Arabidopsis thaliana: one gene and its partner. The protein of the gene in region 1 purifies or fractionates together with the protein of each later gene. This does not show direct contact. Each region holds a gene or a part of one and is shown in the gene's direction. Other genes may lie near its edges. The genes, in order: AT3G54470 and AT1G63770.

Region 1 (6,541 bases):
TCTTGGGATCTGAGCGAAGAGGAACGCAGATACGGAGGCGTTCAAGCTCAGGCTTCTCACCAAAAACAGAACGAAACTCAGAAAGAGTGAGAGAGAGCTCAGCTTCATTAACTTCGTAGCCTCTATCGCGAAGCATCTCAAAAGCTGTCGTGCGAGCCAAGTAAAACCTCTTGCTTTCGATTCCTCCGGTGTCCTCAGTCTTCGAAATACAGTTGGTACCGTCGTCAAACGTCGACTCAACATTTTCACAGCACCCTTCTTCGGCCATTGTCTCCTCCATTTTTCTCCTCTGTCAATTTCAGAGTTTTGCTGTTGGAAGAGAGAAAGGTTTTATGAGTTTGTTTTGTCACAAGAGAGAGTGTTGTTTGTGCTTGAGACTTCTCGGCTGGCCCCTTACTAAAATACATCTGGACTGTCCATTGCATTAATCAACCAACGGTTACGATTCCTCTCTTTTTTATTCAATTTTACTTTTAAGAAAACTCCAAAAAAGCATAACCATAATGTCATAAAGACATGTTTTTGTTGGACCGGACATAACCAATGTCGAGATGACGTCAATGGATAGTTGAGTCGGCTGTTATTAACGACGGCGACGAGTTAGGGTTCATACTTCCTAAAGCGGCCATGGAGTTACATGAGATCTCAAAGCTCGACAATAAGAAGCATCCAGAGAGAATTGTTGAATCGAAGATGAAGAAGAGAATGAAACCTTATTCTCTCACGTCTCTTAACAATCTCGACGATGGTTGCCTTATGCATATCCTCAGCTTCCTATCTCCAATTCCAGGTAAAATTGGTTTCTTTTTCGCATCTATTACTTTGGTTTTCTCATACTTTTATACTTCTTTGTTCAATTCTGCTTTTAATTGTTTCGTTGTTTGTAATTCATTTAGAAAATTTGACCAACTGTTTCACATCTTAATGACGGTTCTGTGTCTCAAATTTACTACTTTGAGACTTTGCAGATCCTAATCAAATCATAATTGAATTCAATTCTAATCTCCATGATGAATTATCTGTTTCTCTTGACTTGGTGTGTATGTGATACAGCTTTGTAGTAATGTAACAGAATCAGCAAGAAAGCTTTTGACTTTGTATTGAATTGCTATGTTTTGATCTGTATGGTGTTGTGTGAAGCTTTGAAAATTTCGTATTTTGTTTGTATGATTGACTTGGGCATTTGTTGCGTACTACAGTCTGTTTCAATGCTGTTTTGTGTATCTCTTGTGAGTTTGCAGATAGGTATAACACAGCACTCGTTTGCCACAGATGGAGATATCTGGCGTGTCACCCTCGCTTGTGGCTCCGTGTTGACCGTTTTGTCAAGGATTTATCTCAGCCTGGAGTTTTCCTCAACATTGAGTCAGCTGTATCTGCAGCAAGGTTTGTAATATTATCAGTTACGTTATTTACACTTCTTTGTTATTCGTAAAAGGGTCCATAAATCTAACCAAATTGTCACCTCTAGACCCGGCGATACCATTTTAATAGTAGCCGGTGGGAACTATCGCGTTTCTAATATTCAGATTAAAAAGCCTCTTTGCCTGGTATGTCTTTCAAAGAATATATGTCTAGTGTAATTGCTTGATATTTCTGAAAGAATCGTTTATAACTTTCTCTAGAAATGGCAATGTGAAATTGGTCTACTTTCACATGTTTCTTGAGTCTTGCCAAAAAAAATTAGACTTCAAAAATCGCAAGTAGTGAAAAATAATTTATAGGACTTAGTATAAACCATTTATACCAACATCTGTGTAGTATCCAAGAAACATGTGAACATATGGTAACATATCTATTCTCATGAGGATGGAGATTCCATTCCATGCCATAGGTCTCGGCATCTGAGATCAGTATGCATTGAAGAGATCCAGAGAAAACAATGCCACGTCTTAGGTACCAAAATAGAAATGAAAGATATCTTAAGCTTGCACACAATTACTTTCAATGCCACAACTGGAAACTAAGCACGAGCTGTTTGTGACATGGACGTTTTAACGAGTGTTAAAGAACTAGAACTTGATGACTAAAATTTTCTTTGACTGTCGTGAGAACTCGAAAAAAAGAATTCAGTTCGACTTCAAAGTCTTTTATGCACTTGCCACCTACCTATCAGTAATGTTCCTTTTCTCATACTGGGCAACACATGGAATGACTGTAAGCTGTAATGAAAACTATTGAAAGTAGACCTTGGTGTATGAATTAGGATGAAAAGATAGAGTTGCAGAAATATGAGTGATTTATCATGAATGTATGGATGCACACCCCTAGAATACCTCAGTGTAGATTAGGGGTTGGCTTATCAGTGTCCCTAGTTTCAGTTAAGTGGAAGAATGTACGCCTTGAGGTTGAAAGGAGTTCCTAAGCTATTGAAAGTAGATGCCTTGAGGATGATGTTGATACATAAGTCTCAATGTTCGATAGTAGTCTCAGTTTTATATTATCTTCGCTTTGTTCAGGTCGGTGGAGGCGAGATTCCTGATGAAACCACCCTCGTCTGTGCTCGTGGTTCAGACAGGTTTGGAACTCATATTCCCTCTTAAGACATTTCCTCTCTACAGTTGTTTTCAAAATTCTTTCTGGGAGGTTTTAGCTTCTTAAAAGTTGTTGAATACCGCATTTCCCATTGATGTTTAAAGAAAAGGAAAATACTTTGGTATACGGCTTTTTGTTGTTGGGTTTATTGTGCAGTGCCCTGGAACTGTTATCAACCTGCAAGCTTGCGAATTTAACAGTAAAAGCAGAGCTCGGGTGCTGTTTGCTTCATAGGAGTGGAAGGCTAACGATTGATGGATGTGTGCTTCAATGTGAGACAAACCCTTTGGATCATCTCTCATGCCCAATCGTGAGCACTGCTGGAGATGAAGACATTGAAAATATCTTAAGCCATGTGGAAGTGAAAGAAACTGTTACTGGAAAGATTAAAGCAAACAGTGTAACCGTTTTGCAGACAAGAATCGAGGGAGGTGCAAAGGCTGTTTCAACAAGGGGAGACTTGGTTCTGCAGCGTGTTCGAGTCATGTATTCCAAGGCTTACCTCTATTTCTGGTTTGATGTAGATTATGAATGATTTTTGCTGGTTTTATTTATTTTTCTTCTTCTGTCTGTAACATTAGTAATCTGTGTGATGATGGGAAATGATCCATCTTCATTTGTACTTTGTGTTTCCCCTTAAGACCAGACAGGTCCTTTGTTGTATGCTTATTATGTTCAGAAATAATGTCCTTTTTAGGACGAATTGCCGAATTCATTTCAATTGGATTTTTATAATTTCTGCTTAGTGTATCTTTTGTGATAAATGGTTTCTTTCTTCACTGTTATCAAAATATTAGAGATTTTTTTCTCTCAAAAAATATTAGAGAGAATTTCAAACAATGCAACAGAAAACAGCTTTATTATAGTAAAGAAATTGCAACAATTGTTGTAGACAATGACTTCAACAAAAAAATATTCTATACAATGAAAAAGTATTTCTAAAATGTAAATAAAATGACATATTCAGAGTAGATTTTTTAGGAAAATAAAACGAAAACTGAATGCATAAAAGATGATAAATACGAATAATTTTACATATTAAAATAAATAAAAACATTGAAACACCAAAAATAAGACAAAACCTAAAGTATATAAAGCCAACACTCTCCAGTGTGCAGTCGTTCCAAGTCCGCTTATCGAATTCTCCGATTCCAAAAGCAGCAGAAGAAAAAATGTCAGCCATGGAAGCACTGATTCTCCAGCTGCATGAAATCGGCGCCGTGAAATTCGGCAATTTCAAGCTCAAATCTGGAATCTTTTCTCCGGTTTACATCGACCTTCGTCTCATCGTCTCTTATCCATCCCTCTTAACACAGATCTCTCAAACTCTCATCTCTTCTCTTCCACCTTCTGCAACCTTCGACGTCGTCTGTGGTGTTCCTTACACTGCTCTCCCTATCGCCACTGTTGTCTCTGTTTCCAATGGTATCCCTATGCTTATGCGGCGTAAGGAGATTAAAGACTATGGAACATCTAAAGCTATTGAAGGAATCTTCGAAAAGGATCAAACTTGTTTGATAATTGAAGATCTTGTAACTAGTGGTGCTTCTGTTCTCGAGACTGCTGCTCCTCTTCGTGCTGTGGGGTTAAAGGTTAGTGACGCGGTGGTTTTGATTGATAGGCAACAAGGGGGTAGGGAGAATCTAGCGGAGAATGGGATTAAGTTACATTCGATGATTATGTTGACGGATATGGTTAGGGTTTTGAAGGAAAAGGGGAAAATTGAAGTGGAGGTTGAAGTGAATTTGCTTAAGTTTTTGGAAGAGAATCGTAGGGTTAGTGTTCCAAGTGTGGAGAAACCTAAGCCTAAGCCTAGGGTTTTGGGGTTCAAGGAAAGGTCTGAGCTTTCTAAGAATCCGACAGGGAAGAAGCTGTTTGATATTATGTTGAAGAAGGAAACCAATCTTTGTTTAGCTGCTGATGTTGGAACTGCTGCTGAATTGCTTGACATCGCAGATAAGGTTAGGATCATTCTTGGTATCGAAGTTTGAAGACTGTTCATTAGAATTATGTTTTAGTGACATCTTCTTCCAAATGTTTTGTGTTGATGCAGGTGGGACCAGAGATTTGTCTCTTGAAGACTCATGTTGATATACTGCCTGATTTCACCCCTGACTTTGGCTCTAAGCTCCGTGCGGTAATTACTTTTGTACTAATTTGCTCTCACACATCTTCGAAATTCTGTTTCTTTGATAGGTTTAGTTATATAGAGTAAGTGAAGATTGTAATATCTGCAATAGACATGAGTCTCATGTCTGTTACTGATTAATTGGTCTCTTTGATACTCATTGATCTATTGTTTATTGTTACTTTAGATTGCAGACAAGCACAAATTTCTCATATTTGAGGATCGCAAGTTTGCAGACATTGGTAACACTGTCACTATGCAGTATGAAGGGTAATTTTTCTACATTATGTCACTTAGCTTTCATTCAAGTCTTTTCGAGTTTTCGTGTGCCAATTTTTTCTGGTTTGTTCGCAGAGGCATCTTTAAAATATTGGAGTGGGCTGATATTATCAACGCTCATGTAATATCGGGGCCAGGAATCGTGGATGGCCTGAAATTGAAGGTATTTTTCATTTCTCTTTATTACCAGATTATAGATTCTTTTGTTTTTCTAATGTTTTGTTGCATTCCTATATGATTGCAGGGTATGCCTCGTGGTAGAGGTTTGCTTTTGCTTGCTGAAATGAGCTCTGCAGGTAACCTGGCTACAGGAGACTACACTGCAGCAGCTGTGAAAATCGCAGACGCTCATTCTGATTTTGTGATGGGATTCATCTCGGTGAATCCAGCATCTTGGAAATGCGGGTATGTGTATCCGTCTATGATTCATGCAACACCTGGTGTTCAAATGGTGAAAGGTGGTGATGCACTTGGTCAGCAGTATAACACTCCACACTCTGTGAGTCTCTCCCAACCTTACCACATTTATCTTACATCCATTGTTAGTATTCTAGTCTGAAATATAATGTTGATTGCTCTTTTATTTTATTTTAGGTGATTACTGAGAGGGGAAGTGATATTATAATCGTGGGACGGGGAATCATAAAGGCGGAAAACCCAGCAGAGACGGCTCATGAGTATAGAGTTCAAGGATGGAATGCATACTTGGAGAAATGCTCTCAGTAGATTCGATCCTGAGAGATGGCTGAGATTTTTTGTTTTTGTGTTCTAGTGCTATAAGATTGTGCTAGTTTTTGTGTGATTTATGTGAGGATGGATTTTAAGACTCATGTCTCGTTGATTGTTTACTTGATTGAGTGATTCTCAGTTCTCAATAATAATAAAGTGAAGCGTGGCGAGTAGTTGATCTCATATGATTTGTACGGTTGATCACAATTTCTGGATCCTTTGGATTTGGCCGAGGCATTTTGTCAAATGTAACTCAAATCACGTAATGAATCAAAACACGAAGAGATAATATAAAGACTAATTTACAGGTTAAGTTACAGTCGCTTACACACAGGGCATGTGCGTGAAAATGTTGCCAAATACTCAAGTACTCAGGAAGGGATTTCAAGTGTAGAAAGACTTCTGTAACAAGTGACAGACTTGCTATTTCATTTACTCAAAAATGATCATAAAACAACTTCAAATTCTATTGGGCTTAAAACTTCAAAACTAACTTGCTATTTTGATTAGTCTTGAATCTTAATACATTGTTTTTTAAGATTGTAAGCCCACAAATTGTTTATATCAATCTATGTGGGCTTAAACCCACTGGGTACTCAAAACCCGGATAAAATTGCAAGCCCACAAATTGTTTTCCAAATCCAAAAAAACACGGGCTTAATATGGGCAGGTCTTGTTTTACACAAAGTCTCACACGGGTTTACTCTATTGGGTCGTTTTTTTTTGTTAGTAGTTATGTTAGTAAAACGACGGCGTTTAGATCAATTTATGTGAATTTAAATATAAACATTATCTCCATATCCATTGTTTTGAAAACGGTGCACGTGTAGCTATCTCATTGGTTAGAAAAACACACGTGAAACTCTCTAA
Region 2 (6,541 bases), on another chromosome or scaffold:
CTATTTTTCTTCAGTCGTCTTCTTCTTCCGGCTTCTCTCGAAACCCTTACCTAAAACCCTAATCCGCCACATCCGTGTTTTAGCCTCACGACGAATCACGATGCAACGCAGACTCGTAAGGTTAAAAAAAGAGTATATCTACAGGAAAAGCTTGGAAGGTGATGAGCGTAAGGTCTATGAGCAGAAGCGGCTGATAAGAGAAGCCCTTCAAGGTCTAGTGATGATTTTTTTTTTCAGTATCTGTTGAAACAATCATTGATTCGATGTGTATTTTTCGTTTTTCTGATTTTGGTTTATATGGTTTAACAGAAGGAAAGCCGATTCCTACTGAGCTCCGAAACGTCGAAGCCAAGCTTCGACAAGAAATTGATCTTGAAGACCAAAACACAGCTGGTAAGAATTTGGAAGCTAGATTTTTCCAATTGGTTTGAACCTGTGATATGAATGGTTTGTGGCATCAGCTAATGGTTATCATCTAATCATGTTGTTACTAGTTCCGCGGAGTCATATCGATGATGAATATGCAAATGCTACGGAAGCAGATCCAAAGATTTTGTTGACAACTTCTAGGAATCCAAGTGCTCCGCTCATCCGATTCACTAAGGTATTGTTTTGTTTAGTTTCCGTCGTTGAATAGATGCTGACGTTATAATGTTCCTGATTCCTTTTCATTGATGGTGTGGTTTCTGTTGCAGGAATTGAAGTTTGTGTTTCCTAACTCTCAGAGAATAAATCGTGGTAGTCAGGTATGTGTGTTGTTCTGGCTTCTGCACTTAAAGTCATTTGGAAATATCTAATTCTCTTTTTTTCTGTAATCTGGTTTTGTTTTGCAATTGATCATTGCTTGTGGTTTCTTCATCGATGTTGTTAAATTGATTGCCAATGGTATTAGCTCCCTTTTGTTTCCTGGGTATAACTATTGCATGTGCATAGACTTGTATCAGATTATTGTTGAATTTATGCGCAACACTGGTCATATCAATGAATTGCATATTAGATCAAGCTTTATAATTTAAAATGTAGTTGAGTCTGTCCAATTCTGCAGAATCTAGATTTCAAATAAAAGCAAGACTAATATAAACGATCATTTAAGCTGGAGTTGTACTGACACTTATATTCAACACAAAACCTCTCTATGTAAGTGTAACACGGAAACTATGTTGCATTCGAATCGTAATCTAAGTTTCTTTCCCACTCTGTTAATTTGCAGGTCATTTCTGAGATCATTGAAACTGCTCGTTCCCATGATTTTACTGATGTTATATTGGTTCATGAGCACCGTGGTGTGCCTGATGGTCTCATTATCTCTCATCTCCCATTTGGACCAACTGCATACTTTGGATTACTTAATGTGGTAAGTAACTCTTTGAGGATCTGATTTTTATATCCAAATCTTTCTTCTTTCAACTCCTAGTTTAGCCTTTTTACTTAATCCAAAGTCCCTTCTGTTTAGGTAACAAGACATGATATTTCAGACAAGAAATCCATTGGAAAAATGCCTGAGCAATATCCTCATCTCATTTTTAACAACTTTACTACTCAGGTATATCTCTAGAGCCAAAATTCACTTCGTTCTTACTGTAATTTGGTATTGGAAACCATCAAGCTTCGTCGTGTCTCATAGAATGATCGCTCTGGTTTATTCATTTCTAATGTAAACATATTTTCAAATTTGATTTCCCTTTGTTTTGCAGATGGGTCAAAGAGTTGGAAACATCTTAAAACATATCTTCCCTGCTCCAAAACTGGATGCAAAACGTATAGTTACTTTTTCTAATCAATCCGATTATATATCATTCAGGTAAAATTTTCTCACAATGATCAGATTTTACGAATTTTAATTGGTGACATCAATTGTAGTATGCAAAGCCTAAGGTCTTAAGGCTTATGTTAGCATTTGGTAATCTGATCCACATAGAAACAGCATGTAAGAACACTGTAAATACAACAGATGGAGATTTTTATAAATTCTTGTGGGTATATATATATAGGAATCATGTCTATGATAAAGGAGAGGGAGGTCCAAAATCAATCGAGCTTAAAGAAATCGGTCCTCGATTTGAGTTGCGGCTCTACCAGGTACGCATTCTGCTTAACCGAATCAAAACTGTTTTCCTCGAGTAAAATAATGGTTTGATAAAGAATCATTCTAGTTCCTTAGTAACAATGTTGTTTCTGTGTAATGCAATTATTTTTGCAGGTGAAATTAGGAACTGTGGAACAAAATGAAGCAGAGATCGAATGGGTTATAAGACCGTACATGAACACCTCTAAAAAGCGCAAGTTCATCGGTGAATGATGACTAAACGGAACAGCTTTGAACCCTTTATCTAAATTCTGTTTTACTTATCATTCTGTTGGAAGAGCTGTTCAGTTTTTGTGTCCTTAGAGAAAATTGCGATGATTTTGTTTTAACGTTTAGCTTATAAAAACAAAACTTTCTTGTCTTCAATTAGTATTTATCTTCAACCATATACTGTTGCGTGAGTCATAATAAAAAATTTTGTAGTAGTATTTTTATCCACGAATTCAAACAAAAATTATCTGAGCAGCATCGAAGTGCTAAAAGGTATTGGAAAATGGATAAACACAAAATTGTCAAAATTCTAAACTATAATTTTTATTTTTTAATTATAAATATCTTTCATCGTGTTGTTATATATATATCAGTCCCAGGTTTCGTCTCATAGTTTCAGTTGTGTCTCTTTCATCTGATCATCGGATCTATCGGTAATTTACTTCTTCGTCTTCCTCAGATCGATTTGATCTCTGTGAAAGTCGCGAAATCGAATTTTAATTTCGTTTAATCATTTGCTTGCTTCCCAGTTTTATTTTTGTTTTTTGTTAATATTATATCGAATTTTCTCGGCCATATTTTTCATTTTAAATTCTATCCATTAGTTTTATAAAAGTCCATAACTTACTGCTCTGTGTTTTCTCTTTTGATTCTTCTCTGTTTATAGTGAGTAGAGAGAGTTATCATCTAGGGTTTATAGATTGGAGATTTTAGCCGCAACAAGGAGGAAGTGTTTTTAATTTAATTTTATTGTTAAGAGTTATTGTTGCTTTAGGGATTTTTAGAATTTGGGTGTTCTTTTAAATGGCTCGGTTGATAATTCCTTGTCGAAGTTCGTCTCTGGCGAGAGTCAATCTTCTGGGTTTGCTCTCTCGTGCTCCTGTGATTACCCTTTAACTCTTTTTTTTGTTTCTTTTGGTTATAGATATAGAATGTTGTATTTTTGATTGATTCTGACAATAGAAATGATATAATTAAAATGATGGAGTTCTGTTCGAATTGTATGTTTTTGTTGAGAGTTTAGTTTTTACATGTTTTACTTTTGAATTCGGTTGTGTACACAAACCTTGGAAAGAACTTGTGTAAGAATAAGAAATTGTTCTTGATTCTTGTGTTCCTATGACTTCTGTTTTGTTTTGTTCCATCTTTATATGTTTATAATTATGTTAATTTCTCTTTTACAGGTTCCTGTTAGAAGCAGTTGTCTTCGTAGTTCGGCAAACAGACTTACTCAACACAGACCGTTTCTTACTTCCGAGGTTTGTGTTTCTTTGTTTCTTCTATCATCAAGTGCCACGCTATGTAAATAGAGAATGATCTTTGCTGTAATTCTTTGTTTCAGGCCATTTGTTTGAGGAAGAATCGGTTTCTACCCCATTCTGTTGATGTAACTTGCTCTATCCTTCCCTTATGATAGATAAAATCCAAAAGTTATTAGTTTAATGCTGTATTTGTGTAGTTAAAATAAATGCATATTCTGTTTTATATGTCAGACACATAAGCAAAACAGCAGGAGGCTCATTTGTTCTGTTGCCACAGAATCAGTTCCGGATAAAGCTGAAGATTCCAAAATGGATGCACCTAAAGAAATATTTCTCAAGAACTACACAAAGCCTGATTACTACTTTGAAACTGTATGCTAGCTTTCTTTTAATTCCAAATTGAGTATATGACTAGAATCATTTTGTTGTTATTTGAAGCTTTTTTGTTTGTTTGTTTAGGTGGATCTGAGCTTCTCTCTAGGTGAAGAGAAAACAATTGTTAGCTCTAAAATCAAGGTTTCTCCTCGAGTTAAAGGTACAACAGTCTAGTACTTTGCTGTTTCTTTAAGCTGAACATACAAGTTTATTTTTCTTTTGCATGAGCTGTTTGCATAGCTTTAAGATGGATTTTTGCTTCTTTTTTTCTCACATCACATCTGAACAAGTATCATGTTGGCCAGGATCTTCTGCTGCATTGGTCTTGGATGGACATGACTTGAAGCTACTTTCTGTCAAGGTTGAGGGGAAGCTTCTTAAGGTATCCATTCAATACTTTTCCTTTCGGAAAATATTTGTATCTCTAGGCTCACTTTATAGACTTTTCTCTAAGACAAGCAACTCAGTTGACTAAGAATAAGTAACTCAGTTTCCTCTCTGATACTTGGTCTCTCTTTTCACTTTGGCTAGGAAGGGGATTACCAGTTGGACTCTCGCCATCTAACTCTTCCTTCGCTTCCAGCTGAGGAGTCCTTTGTTTTGGAGATTGATACTGAGATATACCCCCACAAGAATACTTCACTTGAGGTGAACTTATTTTCCTTTCTTTTTAAACTTTCAATGATGTAAATGATTTCTTCTAACCTTTTTAATTTCTTCTGTTAGGGGCTTTACAAGTCTTCTGGGAATTTCTGCACACAGTGTGAAGCAGAAGGTTTCCGCAAAATTACATTTTACCAGGTTGATTACTTGTTGATAAGATGACTGGTGTTGGGGTAGTACAATTGATGTTCTTACATTGTGTTCTTATTATGAAATGACAGGATCGTCCTGATATAATGGCTAAGTACACGTGTCGTGTGGAAGGTGACAAGACACTTTATCCTGTGTTATTGTCCAATGGAAACCTCATTTCTCAAGGAGATATAGAGGTCAGCAAAATAATGCCTTCTTTCTTGTTTGCCAAGTGTCTCTCGGCTTGGTCTTTGCTGAAAGCATAATTGTTTATGGAAATGTAGGGTGGTCGACACTATGCCTTATGGGAGGATCCATTCAAGAAACCGTGCTATCTATTTGCTTTGGTGGCTGGACAGCTAGTGAGCAGAGATGATACATTTACCACACGCTCTGGTAGGCAGGTTTCCCTGAAAATCTGGACTCCTGCAGAAGATCTACCAAAGACTGCCCATGCCATGTATTCCCTAAAAGCGGCCATGAAGTGGGATGAGGATGTAAGCACTTGCATTTTTTAAATTGTAGTTGTTACTTGTTAGGTTACTGAATCTGATTATTTATTTATGTGTACCCTTTTTTCACTAGGTGTTCGGGCTTGAGTATGACCTGGATCTCTTCAACATTGTTGCTGTTCCAGATTTTAACATGTATGACCAAATGGTGGATTCTGTCACACTTGTAGAATTAATCCCTTTGCAAATATATTCTGTCCATTTTTCTTTTTCTTACTGTCGATACCAGACAAACTGATTGATTTTCGCTCGATTTTCAGGGGAGCCATGGAAAACAAGAGTTTGAATGTAACCCTACCTTACTTTATAAGAAATCATGTACTTGTAAACATTATATTTGATGGTAATCCATGAGCTTCTACTTTACAGATTTTTAATTCCAAGCTTGTCCTAGCATCTCCAGAAACAGCAACAGATGCAGATTACGCTGCAATTTTGGGTGTTATTGGTCATGAGGTATGTAATCGTTTATTGATATATTTTCTGGCGTTTCAGTTAATTTTCATTAAACTCATCTTTCATTGTGCTCTTTGTGCAGTACTTTCACAATTGGACAGGGAACAGGTCAGCCTCATCTCTCCTTCCCTTTGCTAGTACAATTGATTAATCTTTCTTATTGAATCTTCTAATTTTGTTTCTGGTATAAAATAGATGCTTCTCTGTGCAGTATATTTTATAAATGAAACATTCTTAGTGTGTGGCCTAATATATGACTAAAAGTCTACTTGTAACAACAGGGTGACATGCCGTGACTGGTTCCAACTCAGTCTAAAGGAAGGACTTACTGTCTTCCGTGACCAGGAATTTTCATCTGACATGGGAAGCCGAACTGTAAAGCGAATTGCTGATGTTTCAAAGCTTCGGATCTATCAATTTCCGCAGGTACCTTATTTTGTACTCCTTCGAGGCCTCTTCATGGGATTTTTTCATCTTCTCATGCCAACTTCTCTGTCCTCTAATTTATCAGGATGCTGGTCCTATGGCACATCCTGTTCGCCCACATTCATACATCAAGGTCAGAGATCTCTTATTTTGCCTTGGAAATGTTGATGTACATGTTATGTAAAGTGTTGCTAAATATGGATCTTTTCCTCTCTCTGGCAGATGGATAACTTCTACACAGGCAAGTTTCTGTTCACAAGAAGGAATTCCATTAAAGCATTGTATTATGTTAATCTTAGCATTGTGATCCAATCTAACGTTTGTGTGCTTTTGTAACCTGTTCGAACCTGCTTTACATCTCTGGCCATCACCTACTCTCTCAGTGACGGTAGGGACTAAAAAACACTCTTTTATTCATA

What was found.
Region 2: the proteins of AT3G54470 (region 1) and AT1G63770 fractionate together in Arabidopsis thaliana (co-fractionation; one large-scale study listed by BioGRID). This does not show direct contact.

The regions. Positions count from the first base shown.
Region 1 is NC_003074.8:20,167,412-20,173,952, reverse strand, and holds AT3G54470 (uridine 5'-monophosphate synthase / UMP synthase (PYRE-F) (UMPS)), read left to right. Parts: upstream 1-3,632; 5' UTR 3,633-3,707; coding exon 3,708-4,496; intron 4,497-4,588; coding exon 4,589-4,672; intron 4,673-4,850; coding exon 4,851-4,933; intron 4,934-5,017; coding exon 5,018-5,105; intron 5,106-5,186; coding exon 5,187-5,441; intron 5,442-5,536; coding exon 5,537-5,668; 3' UTR 5,669-5,948; downstream 5,949-6,541. Other genes in the region: RPB5E (RNA polymerase II fifth largest subunit, E), read right to left, coding at 1-280; SKIP5 (SKP1/ASK-interacting protein 5), read left to right, coding at 628-790, 1,242-1,386, 1,472-1,550, 2,460-2,518, 2,692-3,070.
Region 2 is NC_003070.9:23,660,803-23,667,343, reverse strand, and holds the start of AT1G63770 (Peptidase M1 family protein), read left to right. Parts: upstream 1-2,846; 5' UTR 2,847-3,100; coding exon 3,101-3,178; exon of another isoform or gene 3,179-3,480; coding exon 3,481-3,555; intron 3,556-3,638; coding exon 3,639-3,683; intron 3,684-3,789; coding exon 3,790-3,930; intron 3,931-4,017; coding exon 4,018-4,093; intron 4,094-4,238; coding exon 4,239-4,315; intron 4,316-4,464; coding exon 4,465-4,581; intron 4,582-4,659; coding exon 4,660-4,734; intron 4,735-4,817; coding exon 4,818-4,925; intron 4,926-5,012; coding exon 5,013-5,225; intron 5,226-5,313; coding exon 5,314-5,375; intron 5,376-5,500; coding exon 5,501-5,528; intron 5,529-5,609; coding exon 5,610-5,696; intron 5,697-5,778; coding exon 5,779-5,804; intron 5,805-5,977; coding exon 5,978-6,122; intron 6,123-6,207; coding exon 6,208-6,255; intron 6,256-6,344; coding exon 6,345-6,363; intron 6,364-6,505; coding exon 6,506-6,510; intron 6,511-6,541. Other genes in the region: IMP4 (Ribosomal RNA processing Brix domain protein), read left to right, coding at 101-212, 310-393, 495-604, 696-746, 1,211-1,354, 1,454-1,543, 1,695-1,801, 1,992-2,079 and 1 more. UniProt on the Arabidopsis thaliana protein: Aminopeptidase with broad substrate specificity for several peptides. Involved in proteolytic events essential for cell growth and viability. Plays an essential role during prophase I of meiosis.